2 linked regions of the Alligator mississippiensis genome follow. The protein of the gene in region 1 interacts with the protein of each later gene in a pairwise test. Links are inferred from orthologs where the notes say so. Each region holds a gene or a part of one and is shown on either strand. Other genes may lie near its edges.

The links. The genes of interacting proteins can lie anywhere in the genome.
Region 2: the proteins of RAB3IP (region 1) and NAA10 interact in binary tests that used the Homo sapiens proteins (3 or more experiments, as listed by UniProt). The two-hybrid records come from large-scale screens. The link is inferred for Alligator mississippiensis from reciprocal best matches to the Homo sapiens genes RAB3IP and NAA10.

What each region holds. Positions count from the first base shown.
Region 1 is NC_081827.1:70,099,790-70,107,023, reverse strand, and holds the start of RAB3IP (rab-3A-interacting protein), read right to left. Parts: upstream 3,034-7,234; 5' UTR 2,952-3,033; intron 1-2,951. UniProt on the Homo sapiens protein: Guanine nucleotide exchange factor (GEF) which may activate RAB8A and RAB8B. Promotes the exchange of GDP to GTP, converting inactive GDP-bound Rab proteins into their active GTP-bound form.
Region 2 is NC_081831.1:28,666,417-28,674,122, reverse strand, and holds the start of NAA10 (N-alpha-acetyltransferase 10), read right to left. Parts: upstream 3,033-7,706; 5' UTR 2,943-3,032; coding exon 2,922-2,942; intron 2,785-2,921; coding exon 2,686-2,784; intron 2,281-2,685; coding exon 2,222-2,280; intron 1,886-2,221; coding exon 1,840-1,885; intron 1,290-1,839; coding exon 1,174-1,289; intron 403-1,173; coding exon 358-402; intron 93-357; coding exon 8-92; intron 1-7. Other genes in the region: PDZD4 (PDZ domain-containing protein 4), read right to left, coding at 5,904-7,127, 7,393-7,500. UniProt on the Homo sapiens protein: Catalytic subunit of N-terminal acetyltransferase complexes which display alpha (N-terminal) acetyltransferase activity. Acetylates amino termini that are devoid of initiator methionine.

The DNA of each region.
Region 1 (7,234 bases):
TTATTTTGTTTTGTTTAAACAGACATCGTCAGCATGAAAAAAACCACACTGCAACGTACAGGAGTTGTACCTACTAAAGTCACCAGAAACAACCAATATTCAAGGATAAACACCTAAATGCTTATAATGCCCATAAAGCTTTGTGAAGTCTATAAAAAACATTAATACCCTGCTTAAAAGCTGAGGGTTACAATACCTTTTTGCTAAAATGAAAGCCAGTACTGCACAATATAATCCACTGGTGTCGTTAAAATTGGATTTTTTTCACTTTCAGTTAACATATCAATGTCCTAGATTTTAAGTGTTTTCCTATATACAGTCTTCATTTTTACAATAAATGCTAATTCATTTAAGTTAATGCAACTTAGTTAGTTCCTCCAAAATAGTCTGTCCACACTACTTTTTGGATTTTAGGTCTAGTTCCACTGCTACTGAATTGAGTGGAATTCAATAGCTATTGAGCAGCTAACAAAGTTGAAGTTTTTAGTTAGAACAACAAAACTATGCTTTACAGGTTTTTAAAGCTCTACAGAATTGCTTGGAGACATTCATAATGAAGTACTCCCTTCTTTATTTTTTTTGGAAAACAGTAATTATATGAATGACATCAGCATGAACCTGCATTATTCAAAAGAGATTTTACTTAAACTGAGATGGAGATAGTCTTAAATACCATACTTCTGAATCTATTATTACAAAAACTAGGCATTAAAAAAAAGGTTAGAAGGAAGTTGCTTCTTTGACAGATGTAACAAAATGTACTAAGAAGACTATAAAAGCTATTCACTAGAATTTTAAAATCATTCAATCTGAATTTTAAATAAAGTGAATACAGGAGTTGAGACTAACAACTATTAATCTTCCTCTAAGATGCAAAAATAAATCCTTCAATGAAAAAGATTGTTTTAATTGTTCAGCTGGAAAAAGCTTACCCATTTAAATATAATGAAAAGGATGCAAGTGTTCTGGGTACTACACTGTCAGCTGCAGTGTATATTCACATTTGTTATTTATTACAAGCATAATGACACTGGTAAATTATTTATCCTTCTTTACTCAAAAGGTAATAGTAACCTAGTGCAACAGAAGTATAATCCTGCTAAATGAGACCCAAAAGGTAAGCCTGATACAGCCATGCTCAGAATGCATGAAAACATACTTAACCGTAATACAATGCAAAAAAAGCAAAAAAACCTCTACAAAAAATCATAACCAATCAGGCTTCAGTTTTTGCTCCATATTCCCAACCTCTCTCTTTGTCAAGGAATATGGATATGCTTAAACATATGACATCTGCCAGTACATACTTCAAAATAAAATACCCTTACTCCTGCTCCTAAAAGGAAACAGCTAATGATGTTAGTTACTGAACAGTCCATAAAAACAGTCACCATACCTGACTGTGTGTAAAGTGACAGTTTCAAGTAAATAGAGTAAACTAATAAAGTAATACAAAGTAAAGGTAAGTGACCAAGGGTGCCAACAACAAATAAAGTAAGGCAACAGTCCGGAACTGGTGAAAATATTGCAATGATATATTAGCTGCGGCTACAAATAACCGCTCAAGATTTTGCTGCTTTGCGTGCCGTCTGCCAAAAAAAGTTTGTCATAAAGCTTACGAATCCAGTACAATAAACAAAATATATAGGAAGGTGTCAGGCAGTGCTGGGTCAGCTGTACAAAAGCTATGCCCAGAACTTTCTTTAGGAGGAGAAAAAATGATCTGTGGGGTGATGCTTTGGTTCCAAAACAACCCTAATTTCATAATGCAGTCAATTAAAACCTCACTACTTAACAGTGCGAGTATTTAAACCACTGCTCAGAAGACAAGGTTCTTTGGGTAAATGCGATATCTTTTATTAGACCAACTCAGTTGGAAAAAATCTTTCTTCCAATTATTTGAGTTGGTCTAATAAAAGATATCGCATTTACCCAAAGAACCTTGTCTGCCCATGCCCTTAGACCAACCTACTCCCTCTAAAACATTGCTCTACAGTGACAAGGTGTGATATGGCCTGCAGATCTTAAATGAAATAAAAAACAAGCCTGCAATCTTTATCGCACCACAGGTGGCAAATACTAAGTGGGTAAGCACTACTTTTAAAAAAATAACTCAAGAACAATGCCATTGGAGGCCAAGATTTCAAGGGCAAGCTTCAACATCAAACTGAGCAAACAGTGTTAGGAGCCTGCTTCTCACCTAGGCAGGGCCGGACACAGGCATGGGCGAACCAGGCCCAGACAGAAAGGGGGCCCGAAAATGGTGAAAATAATTATGATTATTATCATTATCTCTGGCAAATACAAGTTCACCTGGGGCCACGAGGAGTCTAGGTCCAGTGCTGCACCTAGGGCAGCGCAAGAGCCACGTGGCAGCTGTGACGGTCCTAAAATGATAGGAGGCTGGGATCACTTAGGATGACACCTTTTATTGAATCAACCTGTGCCGCTGGGGTCCGAGCCAGGCAGGCCGATACCGCTGGCCCAACACAAGGCATCACTGTGAGGGTGACACTGCCTTGCACCTCGCCTCAGACACACTCTCCTCTTTCCCATCCCACTTTTTAGGGCCCCCTTTTCACCCAGGCTTCGTTGTCTGAGGTATCACAGAGGTTTCCCTGCAACAGCAGCTCATCACGGGCGTATTTCCCTCTCACCTCAGCAATTAAAAAAAAAAAACACAGTCTCCCCCCCCAAGCGCCTCATCTGGGCCGCATCCCCACCACCAAGCCCATCTCCCCCGCCCCGGGCTTCAACCGCAGCCCCCAGGTTGCTCCCAAGCCGCGGAGCCACAGGCGGCCCCGACAGCCCAGCGGGTCCCTCGGGGCCGGCTCTGCCCCGCTCCCGCTCCCCCTCCCCCTTGGCCCGCCGGCGCCTGAGGCGGCCGCGAGAAGCAGAGCGGGGAGGGTAGCCCCCCCGCGCGCGCGGCCCCAGCGGCCGCCGCCCCTCACCTGCCGAGCGCCAGCCGCCACCTCCGCCTGCCCGAGCGGCTGCGTGGGGGCGGGGCGCCAGCCTACGATGGCGCATGCGCTACTGCGAAGCGGCCGCCTCCCTCAGGGCCTGCAGGTGCTGCCGTGGCCCCGCCCCCTCACACGGGAGGCGGGGCGGGGCGTGGGGGCGCAGGGCCGCGCGGCGCGATTGAGACGCGAGTTCGAGTGCTGGCGTGTCCGTTCGCGCCTTTCTCTTCAGGTGGAGAAAAGCACCGGGGGCGGAGCGGCTCCGCCTGCAGCTGGGCAGACGCGCTGGGCCGGGGAAGCTTCTGTGTCCCAGCCCAGCTCCCCTCACCCCCTTCCCCCAAGGTTGGCAATAGGGGCAGGAGCCTCTCTGAAGGTCCTGGGATAGGAGCTTCCCACCCTCCCCCCAGCCGGCAGGGGAGAAAGCAGCAGCAGCAGCCGGCAGGGGAGAGGTGCATCCGAGCACTGGGTAGTGCTCACCTGCTTTGGGGACTTGGAAAAAGTCCTCAGAGGCTCCTGCGGGGCAAGGCAATGCGGTTCAAAACCAGGGTGCAGCCGCACCTCTGCTGCACCCCCTCTGGATCCGCTCCTGGCTGCTGCCAGTTGGCTATAAACTTTGGGGGAGTAGGAATAAAAGGGACCACCCACCCCTGTCTAACCTATTAGCAAAATACACCACTCCAACATGGCACAGGCAAAGGGAGAGTACTGGATAATGAGGCACCGGAGCTTGACTTCCCCAAGCGCCAGTCGCAGGAGAGCAGTGCTCTGAAGGGATGAAATGCTAGAAAACACTGCTTTTTCTATCAAGTCCCCAAACTGTCAGGGGCAATCCCTCGATTCAAGGATGATCTACCCCAGTTCATTGATGGGGTCTTGAGATGATTTTTGAGGCCAATCCTTGAGCCATAGATCCGTCTGCAGAAGTTGCAGGTCTTCTCTCCTTTTCCTTCCTCTGCTCTCTCTTCTCTGCTTTGAGAGCAAGACACTTTGCCTCAAAATGGGCTGCTGCTTGCTTGCAGTTGCAGCGCCACTGGAGCTGGTCAGGAGACAGCTTATCCCAACTCTTGATGTCAGCATCCATTTTCTTGAGGTATGCCTTCAATGTGTCCTTATAACATGTCCCCTGGCCACTGCGAGACCTCAGGCCATTACCAAGATGGGAGTAGAGCACTTGTTTTGGGAGTTGAGAGTCGGCCATCTGTACACAACACCCAGTCCAGCACAGTTTGTGCTCAAGGATCATGGACTCAGCACAGGCAACATTGGCTTTAGCAAGGAAGCTGGCATTTGTGCAGCAATTTTCCCATTTGATGTGAAAGATTTTCTGGAGATTTTCGTTGATGATACCTCCCAAAGCTCTTAAGATGACAACAGTAAATCACCCACCTTTCACATCTGTAGAGGAGACTGGGGATGATGATGGCGTCGTAGACCTGAATCTTGGAGTCTCTCCAGAGATTGCAATGAATAGACATGCCAAGTCCTTAAATGGAGCCCCCCACCTTGGTGTCCACATTTGCTGCAAATGTCTCTGGGCCTCCATTCCTGAGACATACAATGAGAATAAAATATCCCCTTAATTCCCAAGGAGGACACATTTTTTATTAATAGTTGGGATGAGCACCTTGCAGAAGGTGCCATGAGGAAGCTAATAATGGTATTCAGGACAGGGAATGATGGGTGTGTAGAAAATAAGGCTTCAAGCCATGTAGTGAACAATAAGGAGAAAATGAAACATTGAATAGCTGCTCCTTCAGGGAGCATTGTTCAACCCGGGTGCTGAGTGAGGCAGTGACCGGCACAAAACAGTCTGTGCTCATAGAACTGAAGACTGGATCATAACCTCTGCACTTGGGCAGGGGTGTCAAACTCCTGCCCTGGGCTGTATCTGGACTGCACAGCTCCTTTGTGGGCTGGATCTGGCATTGAGCACAGGATGGGGACAGCTTGATCAGTGGGGAGACTAGCAGGAACAACAGTGAGAGCGGCATGGACAACAATATTAGGGCCATAGGCGACACGTAGGGAGAGAACGGGGGCGGGGCATGTGCCCCCCAATTAAAGGGCCATCCCCACTGCTGACACTGCCAGTGGCAGCGTCAACAGGTGCTTGGTGCCCCCCCCGCAGTGGCGTACCGACAGGGGGGAACAGAGGGTTGGTCCCCTGGTGGCAATTCCAGTTTCACTGCTGGCATTTCTGGGCTCGGTGATGGGCCGGACCCCCTCTGCTCAGCAATCAGGTGCCCCCCCTCCCCCCCCCCCCCCCCCTGCTGATTCAGGAGGCATCAGTCGCCCATGGATAGGGCAAGTGGCAATGGGATCAGTAGCCTGGTAGATGGGATAAAGTGGCCCCCCATGGACAGGATCCAACCCATGGGCCATGTTTGACACTCCTATATTAGAATTAAAATCAAATTACACAATTAAAATTGTTCTAACCTTAATTCAGGCATAATTCAACCCTACTTTGAATAGTTGATATTGCAACCTTAACATGCTCTTCATGTAAGGTTTTTTTGTATTGCATCATTACTAAAGCTATATGACATTTTTCTGTCCTCACATGTATGCTTCATCCTGTGAAGCGCTGTTCTACTCCTTGTCTTGTATTTTTTATGCCTTTGCTACAAGCCAGAAATGGTAGGAGGGTTAATGCTGACAGGACTCCAGTCGACCATCAGCCTGGCGAGAGCAGGCCTGCAGAATGCAATGACTGAAATAGCAGTAGTAGTTTGGCTGCACCTTTGCTGTCTGTCACCGTTGTTATTAGTTATTGAGCTGAAAGCATCGCAGCAATGGTAGGGAATTTTCTCAAATACCTTCTAATGCAGACACTATCATTTAATTCATGAAGTTGGGAGATCCAGGTCACATTTCAGTTACCTATTAAAATGTTACTTATCTTGACAGTTTTCCATAGAACTTGTGTAAAAATCCCGTTTGTCCAGTCCTGCAAGATATAGCCACAGAAAAATAATGGTCTTTTTGAGACCTAAGCCACAAGATAAAGAACTCTGTTAAGAAAGAAGGAAAATCCTTGGAGACCAAGTGACATGACAAAAAGAATGCAAAACAGACATAGGTATCAATATCCTATATCAATCTGGTAGGCAATACAATTCAAAGGCATTCTAGCATTTGCAAAAAGACTCAGAGAACAGAGATTCTTGAATTCAAGGCAAGTACATAGCCTTGGTTCTGCAAACCCTTATAATACAATTTCATTCACTGATACTATAATTAATTGAAACAGAATCCAATCAATCCTGTTTGAACCTAGTTTTGCCAAAATTGAGGGCACATTGTGGAAAAAAATCCTAAAAAACATTGTTGCAAACCAGACATTTCAAATGGAATCAAAATGTTAAGAAAATGGCATCACAACCCTTCCTCATTATACATTCTTGTCTGTGGACTATAAGAAATCCTACAGTCCTTAATCCTGTAAAATGTCTATAATTGGCATGACAATCTTCAGTCTTTGCCAGATTAGTTAGCAGGCAGCCCGAGAAACAGAATAAAAGGCAATATAGTTCCAGAGACATTTGAGTAAGCTAAAATTAATCTTTAACAGAATTACTTTGTCAAAATAATCTCTCATATTTTGAAATTTGTACCTACTTTGAATCTCAAAAAAGTAAGACCAATAATCTGCAGAGAACATAATTAATATAGTTAAAACTGAAAACTGAAGCTATTAAAAATGTTTTTCTTCATGAATCTATTACTAAAAAGAAATTAATTGATTTTATGTTTTAAAACAAAGTTTTATATTCCCCTGTGATTTCTCTCTGGTTTGATTCCTTTTTTAAAAAGCAATGTTTTATTGTTAATATAAATGCACAAAATCACAGCTGTCATTAAAATGATGTGCAGCCAACAGCCTAGATAGACTAGTTTATGCCCTCATTTTTGTAGTCTATGCAGCAGTAATGTACCCTGAAAGCTCTGTTCAGTAAAACGATATAACCCCCAAGTTCTGGTCTTTAGAAACGAGTGGAAGTTTGTTGTTTGTCTGGGTGTGTGTTTCCCTCTTCCTGCCACCCAGAAGCTGCATTATCTCAAAGGCCACTAATACTTGCTATAACCATGCAACCTTTCAAGTAAGCTTCTTAAGTCATTCTTTGTCATCCTTTTAGGTTCCTCAGATGCTTAATTAGCTCTGGTACAAAATAATGCCTCATCCTATCTACAACTGACTGGAAAATCCCATCCCATCCTATTACAATCAGACTTTGCAACAATAAACAAGCATTGATGACTGCCAGGCTTGATTA
Region 2 (7,706 bases), on another chromosome or scaffold:
TCCCCACCTCATCAGCCATCTGTGTGAGGTCCCTCTTCATGGCATAGGCGTCCTCCCCATCCGCATAGTACTTGGGCTCCACCTCGCTGATCCTACAGGTGGCCTCTTATTAATGGGGTGGAAATATTAAAGGGGGAGCCCAGGACCTGACTGGCACAGACAGTCCCATAGCTCCCTCCAATGCCCATAGCCAGTCCCCGCTGGCAGTCCTCCACTATCCCATCACCCCCAGGCTTCACCCCTACTACCCCCCCCGGCTCTCCCCCTGGATCCTCCACAAGCCTGTCATCCCCAGTCCTTTGCTATCACATCGTTCCCCAGGAGCCACCATTATCCCATCACCCCCCGTGGACTCACTGGAAGTTGAGGGTGTTGGAGTAGAGGTGCAGAGCTGCCCGGTTGCTACAAGACAAGGCGGGTATTAGGTGGGGGGGTGTTGCCCCAGGGCTCCCTAAGGCACAGTATTTGCCCTATCCCCAGGGGGGCATATCTGAGGGGGCAGCTCCCACTTCTGGTGAGGCATGAAGTGGTTTAGAAGAGCGTAAGTCACAGGGCAGGGTCATGAGGTTACCCCCCTCTCCACTCAGATAGTTGGTGTGGCTTCGGAGTTCAGGGGTCAGAGGTCATAGAATGAGTGGTGACCCACAGAGGGGGAACAGGGATCAGCCACCACCATGACACCATGAGGTGGTCAAGATCACAACCCTTTGGCATAATGGTATAAGGAGGCAGGATCACCATGGGATCAAAAGTCAAAACCCCTCCCCAGTGTGTGTGGGGGCTCAAGGTCACCATGGGGTCAAAGGTCAGGGGCCACTCATCACTATGGGGTGTAGTGGTCAGTGTAACTGTGGGGTCAGAGGTCAGGGCTCACACCCTTATGGCGAATGCATGGACAGTCAATGTCACTGTGAGGAGGTCAAAGGTCAAGGCTCATGTATGCATGTGTGTAAGATCAAGATAACCATGAGCTCAATAGTCAGGAGTTACTCACCACTATACTGTGTGGGGGATGAGAGTCATTATAGGGTTAAAAGTCAGGAGTCACTGCCCCTTTGGTCACCTGCAGCCCTATGGACATGGCTGGGGGAAGGCAGGACCAGGGTAGGGGGGATACAGGACTAGACCCAAGGGACCCCAGGGAACTCCAGGCAGGGGCTAGGGGTCACTCACCTCTTGCGGACATGCAGAGACACGTACTTGGCATTGAAATTTTCAATCATGGCACGAGAGGCCTGGTCCATGAGCTTCTGTGCCAGCCCCAGGCGCCGGTGAGAGCGTTTCACTGCCTGGGGGTGGAGAGGATGGTCAGGTACCCCCCAGTCCCCACCCCTGTCCCAGAGAACCCAGGCATCGGGGCATCCAGCCCCTCCCAGACCTCTGAACTAGGGAACCTGGGCATCCAGGCTCCTACCCCCCCCAGTCCCCACTCCCCTCCCAGAGAAACTAGGCATCCTGGTTCTCAGCCCCCTGTTCTCAATTCAAAACCCCCACCCACTCCCAGAGAACCCAGGTGTCTGGGCTTCCAGCCTCCCCAGACCTGCAAACTAGGGATCTCAGGTATCAGGGTTCCAGACCCCTTCTCACGTCCCACCCTCTCCCAAAGAACCCTATCATCCAGGCTCCCAGCACTCTCCTGCTCCTTCCCACCCAACAGACTCCAGAGAACCTAGGAGTCTGGGCTCCCAGCCCCACTTGCATCTGCCCTCCTCCCTCACCCGCTCCAGATCCCCTCCCCAAACCTCCATCATCTCCTTGCGGATGGGAGAAAATCCCCAGACTCCCATGTGCCCCCCACCAAACTAAGTGCCCGGGGTGGGGAAGGGAGGTAGGACTCACCAGAGAAGTGATGTGTCCGTGGGGGACATCATCGGGGTCTTCCTCCCTGGTGAGCAAATGAAGGAGCTCAGTCCCATGGTGGGGGTCTGCAGTGCCCCTCACTCCCAACCCGTAGCCTCCTCTACATCCCCACAATGTCCCTCGTTCCTGACCTGCAGCCCTGCTGATAGCCTCATGGTGCCCTTCACTTCCAATCTACAGCCCCACCTCCAACTACAGACCCACTCAACAACCTCACCCCCATATTGGTGCCCCTCATTCCCAACCTGCAGCCCTCCTGTAGCCTCATGGTGTCCCTCAGCATTACTTCTGACCCGCAGCCTGCCGCATACAGCACAGCAGTGCCCCTCACTCCCAACCTGCAGCCGGTGACCCCACTCACATCTTGGCCAGTACATAGCCTACGATCTTCCCATTCTCATCTTCAGCGATGTAGGACAGCTGGGGGAGCAGATACAAATTAGGGGGCAAGGGGATCCCCCCAATCCTCTCTGTGCCCCTCACTCTGGACCCGGAGCACCCCCCCTCATAGGGCCAGGGGAGTGGGGGAGGGGTGGGGTTCCAGCTGGGAGGAAGGGGTGAGGCATTTATTTAATACCTTTAATGAGGTATGAAATACCCTTGGGCATCTCCTGGGTGGTGGCTGGAGCGACAGGCAGGGCCCTGTCAAACCAGCCTGGGCTCCTATCCACTGCCTTGGCAAGCCTCCCTGAGCTGGGAAGGAACCCAGGCATCCTGGTTTCGAGCCCCCTCCCCTCTCCGAGAACCCAGGAGTCCGGGCTCCTAGTCCCTACTATCACCCCGCCAGACCCCACCCTCCCAAGGAACCGAGAAGTCCGGGCGCACCTGTGGCCAAGACAGGCCGTGGTAGAAGTAGTACTTCATCTGGTAGTTCTCGGGCAGACACAGCAGGTTGCAGTGCTGCATGTTCATCAAGTCCTCGGGCTGCGGGGGGTAGAGAGGGCAGGTGAGAGGGCAGCGGACCCAGGGATCCGGGCCCTCACCCGCCCCCCAACTCCCAAGAGACCCAGGCGTCCGGGCTCCTCACCGCCCCCCCCAGGCACCCAAACCCTCCCCCGCACCCGCGCGTTGCGGATGTTCATGGCTCTCGCTCGGCCACTCCAGGTCCAGCTCCATGAGGGGCCGCCGGGGGAAAGGGGCAGGGCACAGGAAGCCACACTTGCCCTCCCCTCGGGCCAAGCTAGGCAAATCGGAGACCAACTTGGCCCCGCTGAACAGGCCCTTAGGCCAATCAGAGGCCAGGAGCCTCTGGCTTCCAGCTCCGCCAATGGGGAAGCAGGAGGGAAGATGAAGTCCCGTCTCCGCCTGGCTGCCAATCAATCGGCGCCGGATAGCCCCGCCCACCCATGGCCTCAGCTTCCTATTGGGCAACATGGAGGGTTTGGTTTCGCCTACATCCTGAGCATTAGCCAGTCACGAGCGTGGCTGCAGAGTTAAGCCCTACTTCTAGCCAATCAAATGATAGACTCCATAGTCCCGCCCCCATGGTGGAGGCAGCCAATCACATGGTTTAAGAGGCAGGACCAAATCCCGGCCAGTCACAGTCTAGAATCCCTCGATTGGCGTTTGCTTGGGCTCCAAGAAGCCAATCAGTAGACAGGAGGCGGCATCGTCTGCCGAGCCAATCCTGAGCAGGAGACCCCCCCGTGATGGTTTCTCCCGCCCGCTCACCCTCAGCACCAATCATAGCCCTGAAGGGCATGGAGTGACAGTCACGAGGACCAATGAGAGCAAAGGCAAAGGAGGCGATGTCTCTGGTGTAGTGCTGCTAGCTTCTTTGAAGTAGTGTCCTCAGATGGGGGTGGGGTTCAGAGGGTGGGCGTCTAGGTTCTCTGCGAGGGGAGTAGGGGCGGCTCGGAGCCAAGATAACCCAAAGCGGTGGGGTGGGAGTGGGGGGCACCGCCGGAACAGCCGCCTCCAGCCCGCAGTTACCATTACTGTCATTTCCTGGTTTCTTCATCTTGATTGGATTGATTAAAGAGCACAGGCGTCCGGGCTCTTCTGGGACAGGGGCTTCACCCCAAGCCTGACTCGGGGGCGTTTCCTGCTCCCACACTAATGCGGGCTCTGGGGTGGAGCTCCTCACTACCTGGCTCCGGGTGGGCCGGAGTCAAACCCAGTCGCCTGACTCCCAGACTGGGTGGGTGGGCCTAACCCCCAAGCCCCGCCCCGAGGTGGTTTCCCCCCCCCCCCTCCAATGCCGCTGGTTCTGGGGTGGAAGCGGTAGAGGATGGGGGGCTCTGGGGGTGACCCGCCCCCTCAAGAAAGCAACAACCCGGAGGCGACGACTTGAAACGAGTAAAAACCACCCGGCGCTTTATTCTCACGGCGCCCCCGGGACCCAGGCGTCCGGGAGGACCTCCCCTGCCCCCACCCGCACCGCGCTGTACAACCAACGAACCCCCTGCTGAGGGCGGGCGTGGGGTGAAGAGACAAGCAATGAGGAGGGGCGCGGGGGACCTGGACGCCTGGGTTCCCTTCCGGTTGGGGGAGGTGGGGCGGGGAGCAAAGACGCCTGGGTTCCTCGGGGCATTGGAGGGGAGCTACGGGGCGAGGCGGGGACCCCGGTCGTCTGGGTCCGTTGGGCATTGAAGAAGTATGCAGGGGGAACCAAGATGCCTGGGTTCCCTCCAGGGTGGGGGGAGAGGAAGAGGGGCAAGGGCTGAGAGCTAGGGTACCTAGGTTCAACGTTGGAAAGGTGGGGAGCATGGAAGGTGGGTGAGGCAAGGACACAAGACTTCTTTGCTGGCATGGGCTACAGGGAACTTGGGAGGGAGCAGGGTGTGCCCTAGGTTCCCTAGGTATTGGCTGGGGGAGGGGGGGGTATCTGATAGGGATGAGCATTGGGGGAACCTGAATGCCTAGGTTCTCTGTGCTCTGGGGGAGGGGAAGGTTCTAAGCACCTGGGGCCCCTGGCCACTGAGGGAAGGGGGAGGTTGGAGGCAGGGAAGGAGGTAGGGAAGCCTTAGGCACCTAGGTTACTCCCCTTTCCCAAGAGATACAGATGGCAAACCACAAACACCCACAATCACAGACACAAGCAAGCCCCGCAGGGGAGATCCCCCCCCCCCCCCCCCCGCCTGTCCTTGTGCTGGGGGGGGGCAGGTAATCCTAGCCCTCCCACCATTGTCCATAGGCTGGGGGCAGCTGCAAGCAGGGGGGCCTGGCTTCTTGGAGGGAGGGGTATCCCCACTGGATGGATGTCAGGGTTCTGCTCATGGGGACCCCTTTTTCCAGCATCTCCTTACAGGCTCTTCCATTCGTTCAACCCCCTCCTAAAGCCAGCCCCCAGTTCTGTGGCACACCTCCTCCCCCTTGGGGGGGGGGGGCACTTTCAGCTAGTCCCCCCCCTCCCTCCAATTCATTTCAGGACCTTTCCAATGCGGGGGGTGCGTCCCTGTACATGGTCTTGGGAGAAAGGAACCCAGACATCTGGGTTCTTTCAGGCGCTTGTTCCACCTGAAAGTCTGGGGTACTGGTAGCCTAGCCATGGTGTCAGTGTGGTTTGCTTGGCCTGGTAACGCCTCTACAGGGCCCAGGCCAGGCAGCACCAGGTTGACAGTGGCTACAAAGCCTCCCCAGGCACAGTCTTGGTCACTTTGCCCCTGCTGCCTACTTTTCTTGGCAAAACCCCTCCAGACCCAGCAGGGAAGGGTGACAGTGGCTATATTGTCCCTGTGGCCTACTGAACCTAGTGAACCTTCCCCACGCCGGGCTAGGGCAGGAAGTGCCAGACCAATAGCAGCCACATTGCCCGCACAGCTTGCTCGGCCCAGCAAAGCCTCCCAGGCCCTTGCTTGGCTGGGGTGGGCATCGCCAGGGCAACAGCAGCCATGTCACCCCTGTGGCCTATTCTTCTTGGCAAAGCCACCCTTGGCCCTAGACTTAGACCAAAGGTCAGTACTGCAAAAGCAATGGTGGCCATTTTGTCCTTGTGGCTGACTAAGCCTGGCAAAGCCTCCCACAGCCACAAGCTCAGCGGGGCCAGCCTTGCCAGGGCAACAGGCCTTGTGGGAGGTGGAGGCGGGGGGTGGAACTCCCCCTCAGACAGTAGTGACAGAGAGCAGGGGGTTGTAGAGCCGCCGGCCGTCGGCCCCACGGCTGCCATGGGCCAGCATCTCCTGGATGGTCAGCCAGTTGTCGAGGATGCGGCGGCTCCGCTTCCTCAGTGTCTTGCGGTGGCCCAGGGCCACGGCTGAGGTCTCGGGGGATGCCCCTGCTGCTTCCAGCCGGCTCTGGAGCATCAGCTCACGGCGCCGGCGCTGCTCCCGGGCTCGGGCCAGGTGCTGCTTGCGTTCTTCTCGGCTCCAGTAGCGGCCCAACTTCAGCTCGCTCATGGCATCGTCATCGGTTGTCATCCCGCTTCTTTCCTCCCTGATCTTCAAGGCCCGTGCCTTGAGAAGCCGGTCTCTCACAGGCCTCTTGGCACCTTTGCCCCGCCATTCCCCACCCCGGCCTACTCCTGGCAAGGCTTCGCTGGCACACAGAGGCACTAGGCCTGGCGGTGCTGAAGCAACAACAGCCATGTTGTCCTTGCGGCCTAGACGACTGGGTGAAGCTTCCCGGGGGCTACGCTTGGTTGGACGGGCCTCACTAGGGCGCCGAGTTTTTGGGGGACCTGGAGGCCGGTTGAGGTTGCCCATGGGGGGCTGGCGGAGTGGGCTCTCCAGCTGAGGGGTGCTGCGGCAGCTCTCACCTGTGTTATAGGCGCTTTCAGGGAGCTCCGTGATATCAGCCAAGGCATGGGGGGGGCCGCCTAGGGAGACTTCATAGCCCCCTGGCCCCCCATCTTCCAATAGCCAGGCCTTGAGGCACCGCTCCCGCAACTGCTGCATCTTTTGGGCACGGAGAATGTTGCGGCACTTGAATTCCAGGTGCCGCAGCTCCTCCTCCAGCAAAGCTACCTCATTGCGGTTGACATCCAGGCCCCCTGGCACCCCCCGGTAAAGGGGGGGACCCTGGTTGCCATTCTGGAGGTGCCCCCGTAGCTCCAGAAGCTCACGATATCTTTCAGCCTCCTCCGGGGTGAGGCCTGGGGTGGCTGGGGGGCTAGGTGGAGGGACCACAGCATCTGGGAGGGGCTCACCACGGCGCTGCAGGGCTGGGGTGCCAGTGCCGCTGGGGGGCTCATCACCTAGCAAGTCATGCTCCGAACTCTCCTCATTGCGGGTGCTCTCATCTGTGCGGCCAACCCCACTGTCTGGCTCCCCCAAGGCCGGAGGGGCTGCAGGGGGGGGCAGTGGCAGGGCTGGGGTGGCCATTTGGGGCTGTGGGGGAGGGAGAGAAGGAGGCTGGTGGGGAGAAGACCCAGGTGTCTAGGCCCCCCGCTACAGTACCGTGGCTCGGGAGCAGAAGACAACCCAGGGTGTGGCTGGGGCCCAGGCACCTACACCCGAGAGGGGATTGTGAGGGGGAACTCAGCTGTCCACGACCCCCAGCTCCAACCCACAGCAGATATGGGGGGTGTTAGGAAAGAGAACCTAGGCATGTAGGCTCCCAGCCCCACCCCTGATGGGCCCCCCCTCATCTCACCTGGCCTGGGGCAGCACGGGGGGGTCGGGGTCGTGCCTCATCCTCGGGGTCAGAGCCGAAGTCATCAAGGAAATCTTCGCGGTCACTGTCCTTCCAGTGCTTTGACAGCTGGGGTGGAGAGTTAAGAGCCAGCCCCTCCCCAGTGGGGCCCCCCTTTGCTGTCACGCCCCCCTCCCCCCCCCCGGGCTTCCCAATCCCCTAGCACATTTTCCTCAGCCCTCCACTACCCCAATCCCTTCCCCCCCACAGCCAGCTCCAATCTCTTAACCCATTTGCCCAGCCAGCCTGGGATCCCCTAAAGCCTTTCCCTATCT